Coturnix japonica: one gene and its partners. The protein of the gene in region 2 binds, or shares a complex with, the protein of the main gene of each other region. Links are inferred from orthologs where the notes say so. Each region holds a gene or a part of one and is shown on either strand. Other genes may lie near its edges. The genes, in order: TMEM237, TCTN1 and B9D1.

Region 1 (4,140 bases), on a different chromosome or scaffold from region 2:
CCTAATGGAGTCTTTCCTTTGGGCTTTCTTTTTTTGGGACGACTGAGTGGAATGTCATCTGCAGAACAGAAACAAAAGTCAATGTGCACAGCATGGAAAAACCTTCATTTCCCTTTTTTAACAACCATACCATTCCAAATTAAGAAAGAGTCCTTTTTAAAAGCAAGGACATATTTCAGCTTTTACAGATCAGGTGACAATTCACCAATGTTCAGAAACAGGAAAAGTACAGTAGATAGCAGGAAAGCAAAATAACTTATCTGTCTTACGTGTAACAGAGGCTAAATATACACATGCACATGTTAAGTGAAAACCTGAATGATACTCTGAAGAATAAACTTCAGAGAACTCTTCAGAACACAGTGACAACATTACAGTTGCCCTAACTCAGAACTAGCAATTAGTAAGAAGAACAAAAGATCAGATAGTTCTCACAACAACAGTCTGAATACCCATGATTGCATGCATTTAGGAAGAGTGTAAGGATCAATCCTTCAGTCCTTCTGGGCAGCTTGGTCTAGCAGTTGGCAACCCTACACATAGCAGGGGGGCTGAAACTAGATGATCACTGTGATCCTTTTCAACCCAGGCAATCCTATGATTCTATGATTCAAGAGAGGATAAAATGACACAAGAACTATATAGATGGTTACAACTCTCTCTGATGACAGAATAACTCACCCTGGTTTCCACTTCACGTTTAATGAGAAAAGGTGTTGAAGAGCAGCGCCAAAGGAGCAAAGGTAAGAAGAGAGTTAGTTTTTAATCAACTCACAACAGTGACATTCTCTCTACTTTTTCATTTCATTATTCCCCTTATTTCCATTCCCACGTTTATTTACTGGCAACTGTACACAAAAGGGTTAAGTGTACAAAGCAATCATCCAGACTCAACACTGTCCGTGACTGTGCAGTTTCTTGATTGGCCAGCTATAGATCAGATTAAAAGCGATAATCACCTGGTTAATTAAAACTTGCCTGACATGTAACAAACTAACAGAAGTTATGAAACATTACAACATACACATTACTAAAAATACACCTTTATATGTTGCCAATCATGAACATCACATTTGCCCTAAGGTACTTTGAAGGAATTCTGACATATCATGCCATAAAAATCCGTAGAATTGCTTTTCCTTCCACACTGCTCATTAAAATGCTGGAAAAAAGAAAAAAGCCCAGATTTCTCTGGATGCAGTCGGACTCGATGATCTATAAGGTCTTTCCCAGCCTAAGCAATTCTATGATTCCATATTATGTCAAACTGATAAACACCTGTGTCTCCATTTGATAACACCTAGCTTGATTTCAAAAATCCCTGTCCTGAAGGATTTGTGATTTAAACGTACCAAAGAATGTAGCAAAACAACAGCAACAAAGAGTTAAGGAAGAAGAAAGTGAAAAGAGAAACATCAGTAAAACTGATACAGATGCTAATAAAACTGAAGTTGATGTTTGTCTAAGACTTTAAAAGGTTTAATCTTCCTGAATATTAAAAGTGAGGTAAACTTCAATTAAAAATGAGTCAATTTCTCAGCCTCTAAAAACGTTAAATGCTTTATAATTCTTGTGAGGGATTCTAGAACAACAAAGCAGCAAGAAAAGCAAATGTTTAAAAAGCTACTGTGACTGTGCAGATACTCAAACTCATTTTCTTTCATTTCATTTCCTTTAAAAACACAGCAGTAGAGAACCACAATCAATCCTGTGGAACGAACTGATCTTACCTTGGCACTGGGGGGAGGGCACGTGGAGGGCGCTGAAACATAACGGAGAGACAGAAGTCAGCTTCTGACAGTGCAAAATCATCCCGAGGTCTGTTAAACCACTCCACAGAGAACAGCTGCTTTCAGAGGCAATAATAACTCACACTATCTATGTTATGCTTCTGAAACCAGGTTCTCATACACAACCAAATACATAAAGAGTAAGAAACACATATCTCCTATTGTCAATCTGAAATGCAGTTCTTGCACTGGATGATTTTGTATTATATAATAATACATAAGAAGTATAGCATTAAACATTTCCTACATTACAAGAACTCAGTTGATACCAACAACACAAAAGCCTGCCTGACCAGTAAAGCTCAAGGGCCCCCAACTTACCACTTGTTTTTTCCCCATATCATTGGAAGCAGTTCCCTGGAAGAGGCACTGTGAACAGTTCTCCACTCCTGACGTCGCTCACGCTGAACCTCTGCTAATTCTGAACTAAAAATAAGCTTCTGGCTGCCCGGATTAGCTGGCTGTAAACCTCCCTGCCCCTGGGCCAGTGCCCAGCACTATTCCTGCTAGAATCAATGGTGGTTTGCTCTGGCAGCAAAGCTTGTCCTAAATGGCACCTGCCCCAAACCCCATTGCTCTATGTGCTGGTAAAGGTTCAGGTGAGCTCTGCTCGGGGATTTTCACCTGCTAAGTGAGACTCGCCGCACGAGGAAGCTTAAAGCGAAGTTTAGCTCGGGGCTCATTATTGCCTTCATCATCGTTTGAGCGATAACTATCGTTAATTATCTAGGATATGGCAGAGATCTCCAGCCCTCAGCTGCAGCTGCCCATGGCCCGGAGGAGCACACCGCAGGCCACAGCAAGGGGGCGGCTGCACGAGATGGCCATTTGGAGACTCCATCCCCCGGTGCCGTTCGGTGAGCAGGGCCACGGGAACCCTCCGACGAGACACACCCACGGCCGCCCCAGCGGCACAACGGGGGCCGGCTCTTCAAACTCGAAGCCCCCCACCCACCGCCGCACCGAACCGCCGCCAACGCCCACAGCGCGGCCTAGGCCGGGGAAGGCTTTAGGCCCGGCCCCCCCCCCGCCCTTCTGGGAGCCCCGCCGCCCTCACCCGCTCGGGTCCCGCCCGCGGCTCCGCCATGCCGCCCCCGCCGCCGTCCCGAGCCCCGCAGGGAGGAGCCGCCGCTCGCTTCCGCCCCGCCCCGCCGCTACGGCCGCGCTCCTCGGCGGCACAGCCGGTATCCTCAGTGCGGCGACGGGGAAAGCGAGGCCTTGAACAGACCGGGATTCCGGCTTCGTTCGCCTCGTTATGAGTGACACTATTTGCAAATGAAGTGACAAGCTCTAAGTTAAAAGAAAATCAAACTGCAAAGGGAACGAACACCCGATGCTGTGCTTTTCTGGCAGCTGCTTTTCAATGTACATCCCGCTGCTGCGAGGGGCAAAGTACCAGCTCATGCACCAGCCCGGCTCCCGCTGCTTGTACTCACCCCATTCCAGGGCCATGCAGGGCTCTGCTTTCCAGTGTGTTTCCTGCCAAGGACCCCGCTCTGACTTCACTATAAGCTGGCACAGTGCTAGCTGCAAGAGCAGGCTTACTACATGAATAACTTCTTTATAGGCAGCGCAACCTCCTCCAGTAGATTTTCTCCAGGAGGAACCAGGCCGACAGGATAAGTTGTTTCCTCTGAGTCCAATAAACCTGTAATGTGAGATGAAGAGAGTGAGGAATTTGTTAGCCATAGTCACTGTACTCTTTGGTGAAGAGAACGTGCTGCCTTGACTCAAACCAATAAGAAAAGGGGCTTTGGATATGATTTTCCTCTATAATAAATCCATATTTTGTCAGTTTTCAGTCACTTGAGTTGATGGAATAAAAGCCAAGCCCTGCTAAAATACTGTGGCAGCCCAAGTGACCTCAGGTGTGCACCCACTGCTCACAACAACCACATATCGGTGTGCAATCAGCACTGCCTGGGCTGGTGTGGGACATGGAGGATGCAGTGCAGCACTAACTCAACTTAAAAACAAAACCAAAAAAACAACCAAACAAACAAAAAAACCAAACAAAGAATCATGAATGTTTTGGTATGTTTATGACTGCATTTTCAGTTGACACAAATGTATAACCTGTGAATTTCCAACAGCTGCAATCAGGCATTCACTCCAAAGAATAGTTTGGTCATCATATCTCTTTACCAGGCTTTTTTAAGCCCTCTCTTACCACATGCTGAGCTTCACAAAAACAAGAACACATCCCATTGGTTTGAGGTTTTCGTTACTCTTTAAAAAAAAAATAAAAATGTTTTAATAAAAACACTGGAACATTTGATTTCTTATACAGTAACTGTACTGCATATGTTATGAAGGCTGCTCTGAAAGTAACACCTGCTATTTCATTGTG
Region 2 (3,647 bases):
CCTAGAAGTTTATCAAGAAGCCAGTTTTGAAGAGGCTCCAAACCTAGATCTGTTTCTGAATATTGCTTTACAGTGGCTTGATTTGGTAACAGTCACGTCCTTTACACCTAAATATGCTCACATGGCTACAAACTTCTTTGCAAATATTATGGCTTTGTCTGTCAGATCACATTATAGCTTTTTTCACGGGCTTAAAACTCCCACTCTTGTGAGGTCAGAAACAATGGGCAAAATAGAGCAAATAACAAGCATTGAAAATACTGCTTAATTTTGAACTTCAGTTTCTTCTATTTTCTGGGCCTGTTCTTACTGCAGCTGAGGATACAATACATCTCTACAACGTAGCTGAGCGTTTCTTAAGCATGGAAGAAGGAAAACAATACTTACATAGTTTTAAATTCCTTTCTTGTAGGTCCATACTCTTATCTACTTGTTCTAATTAATATCTAAAATGTTTCATTTTCAGGTGAGTTATCATATTACATACACAGACGCAGGAGAAATAATAGAAGCAGCTGCTTCTTTTGTCTTGGGAGCAGTTAACAAAGAAACACTTTCAATACAACAGAGCTTTGAAATCAGCTTTACTCAGGTAACTGCTACAGATGCTATGGATGACTTGTTGAAAGACATTTAATTACAAAACTTATTAAACTTGAATCAGAACAATTGTTAGCAGCAAGGTAAAATGTTACATGTCCTGGCTACACAGATGAGGCAGCATTTCAGAACTGGGCATTAAGGGTCTCCAAAGTCTGTTTTTGATGCTTAGAAGACTCACCTTGTTGCTCTGTACAAGAGTATCCAGCAAAAGCAAAGCCTGTCCCAGTATCAGAGAACAGCTGCAATCTTATAGAAAAACTTCACTACTGTTCAAGGCAGTTAATAACCAGAAAAACACTGAAACATTTCAGCATTTTCTAAATACTTCGGTACAAGATAAGAAGTAATACTGTAAATTTGTATTGCAGGTAAATACAAATCCAGTTCCTTTCAGTGGTAATCCTGGTTATGTTGTTGGACTGGCTGTAAGAGCAGGCTTCAAGCCACAAGGATATCCTTTCCCCATTGAAATTCTGTTTTCAGCACTTGTTCTGGACCAACTTCCCTGAGACTTTCTAGCATGAACACCTTATGCATTTAATCTGTTATTTACTGAAAGTAAATGGATGCTTTTTGGCTATGTTCTAGAAGTGACCAACGTCTCAATCCTCACTGCAATCTCCTGGAACTGCTTAGTGAGGTAGATTCAGGTCTTTGTTGCATGCTCTAGTGCTTCATCATGGTTTAAAAGTCTTGGGTTAGTACAGCATTTTTAGATGAACCTTAAGGATCTCGCTACAGATTCTTTCTTTGTAATCCACAAGTACTGAATTTCCCTTTAACTGCACATTACATCAGGCATCATTCAGAGCACTAACAAATATGGTCAGCTCACTATTCTGCAAAGTACAGCCAACCAGGATTGTCTCACAGCACAAGAAGCCAGAATCCCAGTGTTATTTGGTTACAACATGATATCAGGCTGTAAGTTACGGTAAGAGAACTTACTTTTTTATTATTCAGTGCTTTTATAGCCCCATGGTAACCCTTTCCACTAGGATCTGTTCACATCCTGGGACATTCATACCACTGTAAGAGTATTGGGAATAAAGCATTTAATTATAAGAAATATCATTTAATTAACAATGGTCTCTCTTCTCTTGGAGAGATTGTGCACATTAGCAACTTTAGCTGGAAGGCTTGAACAGTGCGTGAGAGCAAGGAGAAATTACTTCCATGCCAAACCAATGGATTTTGCTTTAACTCTCTTTTCTCCTCCCCTTCTCCCACCCTGGAAGAATTACAGCAGCTATGAATTGCCAGCCCTTGGCCCAGGTCCTCCTAGATTTACTGATGGGACAAAGATTTCCTGAGTATGTGGCTTCATTTGGAAATTCTCAAGCCCAGAACGTGCTCGACTGGGTGCCAATAACTCACCTTCACACCTCAGAACAGGTAAAGATTAACTCTCCCCCCACTATTGCTCTTTCTATACCCTGTTCTGGGATCTGAACCTGTTCTCAGCTTAGGTTTCTCAGACCTACAGGAAAAAAAGTGCAAGAAAAAAAAATTAATAAAAACTTGGAGGACAGTTTCCCTGGGATACTCAGAAACAAGGAGTATTTCCCTCTTGCTGTAAGGAGAGCATTTGTGCCTCTTTGAGAGGGCTGAATGACAGCACCTCCTCAATTAAAGCTTATGTAGAGATGGGTTTTTTTGCATCTAAACAGTGGATGATTTCTATAAACAGGAGCACGAGTGTTAAAAAAAAGAAATAATCAAAAAATATTTAAGTCTGTACGCTTCAGATTTCTGCCCTGGCAAAGTTAAAGGTTTTCTACTGTCCCAGCAGCATTACTAAAATGTCATCACTATTAGGAAAGCCTTCTTGCTGAAGAGAGCCAGCTCAGCACGGCCATTAAGCATCAGCACTGCTCGGGTAGAACAGCCCTGCCTGAAGTGCACTTATGAAGTCAGTTTGTCACCTATGGAAAAATTTCAGGGACACCCCCAAGCTGAGGCTGTGCTGTCTGTGCAGGCAGCAGTCCAAGGCACAGGCACAGCTGAGCTGCTCTGCTGACCACCTGGAGTGAGCTTTTGGGGGGGGGGGGCATTGTGCTCATCTAATAAGATGAATAAATACTGTGGTTACTCCTGTACAAGTCAGATAATGAGAGGATTTCTGACACTTTTCAGAGCTCCTGCCAAATACCAGTAGCACTTGAAATAGAAGTGAAGTGGACTAAATACGGATCCCTAGTTAATCCACAAGCCAGAATAGTAAACGTTACAGCAACAACCACTACAACTACATTGAAGAAGGTATGTAATTAAATTACAGGATTTCAGATAAAAGGAATGGCTTGTTTTGCTTAGGTATCAGCTGTGCAACAGTGACCTGGTTAATCTCTCTAAAGATAACACTTCATATTAGAATGTATTGTACCCAACAGTTTCTGCTCCAACTCAAACATGACTGCGGGCTGCTTGCCAAAGCATACTTCAGTCAAATTTATACATCAGCCCTGAAAAGAAATGTGCAATTACACATGGAAAAATCTTATTACAAATAACAGCAAAAATCCAAAATCCAGTTTAAACAAAGCAGTCACACAAGGGGAAGAGCAAGGCTAATGCCCATCTGTATTCTCATTGCAGCTTCCTCAAGGAAGAGAAAGGACTATTCCTATAACAAGTTCTGTTGTTTTCACTGATGTTTCTTCACCTGCAGAACCAGGCTATAAAGCTTGGCCCACCATTAATGCCAAGTTACAACATGACTTTTTCTTCCCATTTGCCTAAGGTAAGTGCCCAAGATGAAAAAAAGGTAAAAAAAAAAAAAAAAAAAAGCTCATTTCTATTTTTAATCAATTTCCTAAAGAAACAAAGTTTATCCAGGCACTGTGTTGGCCCATCAGTTTCTTCCAAACTGTAGGTGTGCGGAGTTAAAAATTGTCCAATAGAAAAAAGGCACTCGGAGCTACTGGTCAGACCAATGGTCTGGGGCTCACAGCAAGCAGGCAGAAATGGCAGGAGCACAGCTCCATAGGAAACTAGGCTTCATCATTCTGTGAACAGCAGAGCTAATTGTTAATTAAAGTAAT
Region 3 (4,113 bases), on a different chromosome or scaffold from region 2:
CACCAACCTCCCCACACCGGCACCCATCACTGACTCAGAAACACCCCTGCAGCCAGCGCGGGGTCCCCAGTCCCACCGAGAGCCCCCCAACCCCCCAGGGCTGCCTCCTGGAGCCCTCCGACTTGGCTGACGAGGAGGTTCGCCACATTAACAGCTCAGCCAAAGACTGGGGGGAGCACTCGGAGGCTGGGAGCTGCTCCACATCACCATTCGTCTCGCCGGCCACATCGCCGGTGCCCCTGAAGAATTGCAGCACAAGCAGCCTGGTGGCAGGCAGCGGCAAGGAGAGGGACTTGAAGAAGTTTTACAGCATTGATACAAAGGGCTTCCTCACCAAGCCCAGCTGGGCGGATGACCAAAGGCGACACTCCATCGAGATCTGCCCCTCCGTCCGCGATGGGGACTGTGGCTTCGAGGAGCGCACCGAGGAAAAGCCGCGCTCCCCTGCCCACATCCAACCGGAGTCCGAGTACATCCATGGAGCCAGGAGGAAGAAGAAGATGAGCCCGCCCTGTATTTCTATAGATCCTCCCATGGAGGATGATGGCGGGGCGGCCTCACGCACCAAACCCTCTGAGAACAGCATGCTGCGCCGCAGGACCCCATCCTGCGAGTTCCCAGCATATCGAGAGCCCCTGGAGCCAGCGGAGGCGCAGCCAGGGGAGCCGGGCTGCAAAGCAGAGCGCCGTGCACAGCACTTGGCCATCCCCGGCTTCTCCTTCGAGCAGTCGGATGGCGGCTCCCTGAGCAGCCTCTCGGATCTGCTGGACAGTGGGCGATCCACACCGGACTGCGAACTGAGAAAGCCGGAGCCTTTAAAAACTCAACGGAGCAACAGTGAGAAAAGCAAAGAGCTGCTCAGCGTGGCCAAGAGCCCCGTCCGGATGCAGGACTTGGTGACTGTTGCGACAGAAGAAGACATCGACGAGCCCGTATAGCTGTCTGGGAGGGGGGTGCGGGGGGTCTCAAGGGCTTGACACCGACATGGGGTTGGACACCGAAGGGGCTGCGCGGCCGCGTGGCCACACTCTGGTTTTTCCCTTTCAAGCAGTCCCTTCTTCTTAAGCGCTGTGGAGGTTTGCAAAAAAACAAAAACAAAAACAAAAAACATTAAAAAAAAAAGAAAAAAGAAGAAAAATATTATTATTATTAATTATTATTATTATTATTTAAGAAGAAACCAAACAAACGGATGAAACGGTGCCGGGTTTCAGGGTGGGGGTTCAGAGGGGGCAAAGTGGATGTGGTCGGGGGGGGGGTGGCTCTCAGTCCTCTGCGCCCTCGGTCACATTGATCCGGGTGGAGGCGGATGGGGGCTGAGGGTTCTCTTTGTCGTTGGGGTGGGGGGTAAGGGGGCTCTTTTTGTTGTTGTTGTTTTGTTGTTGTTGTTTTGTTTTTAAAGATGCTCAACTTTTTACAAGGCACTTTTAGAGACGTCACACGCCGTGGGAGCGCCCTGGGGAATGGGAGCTGTACGTTGTCTGTATATCAGCAATTATATACATAGAAACGATGTACTTGTGAGATACAAAACGAGGAGAAAAGAGAAAAAAAAAATAGAAAAAAAAAGAAAAAAAAAAAAAACAAGAAAAAATACTCACAAAAAACTTCTTCTTCTTCTTCATAATGCACATATTTTTATAGAGAAACAATACTGGTTTTTTGCATTACGTGTGACTCCGCGACCGGGTGGTGTTTCTTTGGGTTTTATGTGGAACTGATTCTTACAGCCCTTCATTGTCCAAATGTTTCTGCTCTTCCTTTGCTCTCCTTTCCCCCCTATACCGCCACCATCAGCCCACAGCTCCTCCTTCCGCCGCCCCTTTCATTTTCCCTTTGTACTTTAGAGGTTGTGTCCTAACCAACAGCAAGGAACCAAATCACTACTGAATTGTAGCCAGTGCAATAATAAGTTATTCATTCTTCTCGTCTGTACAATGATCCTTTCGCTCGTTTTCTTTTTCTTCCTCCTTTTTTAACAGAAATTCAGGTTAAACGCTGCAATAATCTGAAGTACCGCGCACAAACGAGGTGTCCCACATTGCACAAACAAACAACAAACAGAGGCGAAACAATAAAAGGGAAAAATTTCAATCTGAAGAGATTCACAGAATAAATAGTGAATTATTTAAGACATGTATTTTGTTGCCTGCAGTTTGAAGTAGGTTGTTGGTGCAGTACGTCGAGGTGCAAAGAGCTGTTGGTGGCGGTCCATGTGAGCAGGCTGGGATCTGTTCTCCTCCTGGCTGTGAGGTCGCAATGGTGGCCATAACCCCTTCCATTCTTAGAGTGGTAATCAGCTCCAGTGAGGCTGGGAAAGGCCCCTCGGATCCCCAACCCAACCCCATCCCACTGTGACACCAAACCACGTCCCCCTGTTGTTCTGAACACCCCCAGGGTGGTGAACCCATCCCTGGGCAGCACTGCCAGCATCAGCGCTATCTCAGAGGAGGAATTATTCCTAATATCCAACCTGAACCCACACCCACATAGACGTTCCTCCACCACATTCCAGAGCCTTTTAAGTTCAAGTGAACACCGTTTTAATATATTTTAATATACATTTATTTAGTTTTGGGGGTTGATTTTCCATTCGTAGCCTCTATTCCCTGCTCCTTCCCCACTCCTCAGCCAGACCCTCTGCTCGGATCAGCTTCACCACAGAGCACTGACACCATGAGCATCATCAGCCCCAGCACTGCAACACCAGCAGCAAAAAGACACATTGGGGAGGGGAAAAACTATCAACCAACCAACAGAAAGAACTAAAGCAACCGTTCTCCTTTGGTTCGTTCCATGCCGCCTCATATTTATGCATCCACGTATATCTTCTGTTGTTTATGCATTCATTACTCGAAAGGAAATGTATCTTGTTTCACATGTATTAAACTGTATAAACTGGAAGCCTGGCTTGACTTTGTGAGCATCCCCAGGGACCTGCCTGCTCTGTGCAATCAGCAGCCAGGGGGGGATTATTGCAGTTATTCCTTCCCGTTGGTTTAATGAGGGATTCTGGAAAAGCACCATTAATTACCCAACATAACGAGGGGTGGGCGCCTCAGAGACCCCCGACCCGAAGCTTTTCTCCCCCCTGACAGCCCTGTCTCGATCTCCTTGCATTGCAGCATCACCTAGCGGCCATTTCCCGTGCTCTTTAGAAAGAGCCGCCCGAATTTGAGGGGGGGGGGTCTCCGAGGCCCCTCCCCGCATAGTTTGTCCCTTCCGCCGCTCCGTCCGTCCTCATGGCAACGGCCACCGGCAAGATGGCGGCCGCCAGCAGCCCCAGCGTCTTCATGGTGGCCGTCAACGGGCAGATCGAGAGCGGGCAGGTGAGGCCTTGTTCGGTCCTCGGTCCCGTAACCCATCTCCGGTCTGTGCCGTGTGGGCCGGGCCCGGCCCCGTTAACAGCCTCTCCATTGCAGTTCCCTGGGTTCGACGACCTCTACTGCAAGTTCTGCTTCGTCTACGGCCAGGACTGGGTTCCCGCAGCGGTGAGACCTCGTTTTGTGCCCCCGGCAGCACCGGGCTCACACCGAGCTCACACCGGGCTCACACCGGGCTCACACCGAGCTCACACCGGCTCCACACTCGGGCTGACACGAGCTCAAACCGAGCTCCACACTGAGCTCACCACCTAGCTCCACCTGCTCACCACCGGGTCACCACCGAAGCTCACACCGGGAGTCACACTGAGCGTGCACCACCGCAGCTCACAACTGACTGCTCACACCGAGCTCACACCTTCTCACACCGGCTCAACAGCGAAGCTCACACCGGCTCACACCGGGCTCACACCGAGCTCGACACCGGCTCACACCGAGCTCACACCGAGCTCACACCGGGCTCACACCGAGCTCACACCGGCTCACACCGAGCTCACACCGAGCTCACACCGGGCTCACACCGAGCTCACACCGAGCTCACACCGGGCTCATCACGGGCTCACACCGAGCGCACACCGCTCACACGGCTCACACGGGCCTCACACACCGAGCTCACACCGGGCTCCACACCGGGCTCACACCAGCTCACACCCGGGCTCACAACCATCTCACACGAGCTCACACCGAGCTCACACCGGGCTCAACCGACTCACACCGGCTCACACGAGCT

The links.
Region 1: TCTN1 (region 2) and TMEM237 share a complex: the UniProt entries of both Homo sapiens proteins name them as parts of the tectonic-like complex. The link is inferred for Coturnix japonica from reciprocal best matches to the Homo sapiens genes TCTN1 and TMEM237.
Region 3: TCTN1 (region 2) and B9D1 share a complex: the UniProt entries of both Homo sapiens proteins name them as parts of the tectonic-like complex. The link is inferred for Coturnix japonica from reciprocal best matches to the Homo sapiens genes TCTN1 and B9D1.

The regions. Positions count from the first base shown.
Region 1 is NC_029522.1:9,998,780-10,002,919, forward strand, and holds the start of TMEM237 (transmembrane protein 237), read right to left. Parts: upstream 2,921-4,140; 5' UTR 2,878-2,920; coding exon 2,848-2,877; intron 2,780-2,847; exon of another isoform or gene 2,130-2,779; coding exon of another isoform or gene 2,112-2,129; intron 1,763-2,111; coding exon 1,731-1,762; intron 693-1,730; coding exon 682-692; intron 59-681; coding exon 2-58; intron 1-1. UniProt on the Homo sapiens protein: Component of the transition zone in primary cilia. Required for ciliogenesis.
Region 2 is NC_029530.1:5,167,805-5,171,451, forward strand, and holds part of TCTN1 (tectonic-1), read left to right. Parts: intron 1-466; coding exon 467-592; intron 593-971; coding exon 972-1,054; intron 1,055-1,396; coding exon 1,397-1,537; intron 1,538-1,841; coding exon 1,842-1,998; intron 1,999-2,739; coding exon 2,740-2,865; intron 2,866-3,201; coding exon 3,202-3,345; 3' UTR 3,346-3,346; intron 3,347-3,647. UniProt on the Homo sapiens protein: Component of the tectonic-like complex, a complex localized at the transition zone of primary cilia and acting as a barrier that prevents diffusion of transmembrane proteins between the cilia and plasma membranes.
Region 3 is NC_029529.1:5,249,663-5,253,775, reverse strand, and holds the start of B9D1 (B9 domain-containing protein 1), read left to right. Parts: upstream 1-1,301; 5' UTR 1,302-3,242; coding exon 3,243-3,329; intron 3,330-3,422; coding exon 3,423-3,491; intron 3,492-4,113. Other genes in the region: CACNA1H (voltage-dependent T-type calcium channel subunit alpha-1H), read left to right, coding at 1-938. UniProt on the Homo sapiens protein: Component of the tectonic-like complex, a complex localized at the transition zone of primary cilia and acting as a barrier that prevents diffusion of transmembrane proteins between the cilia and plasma membranes.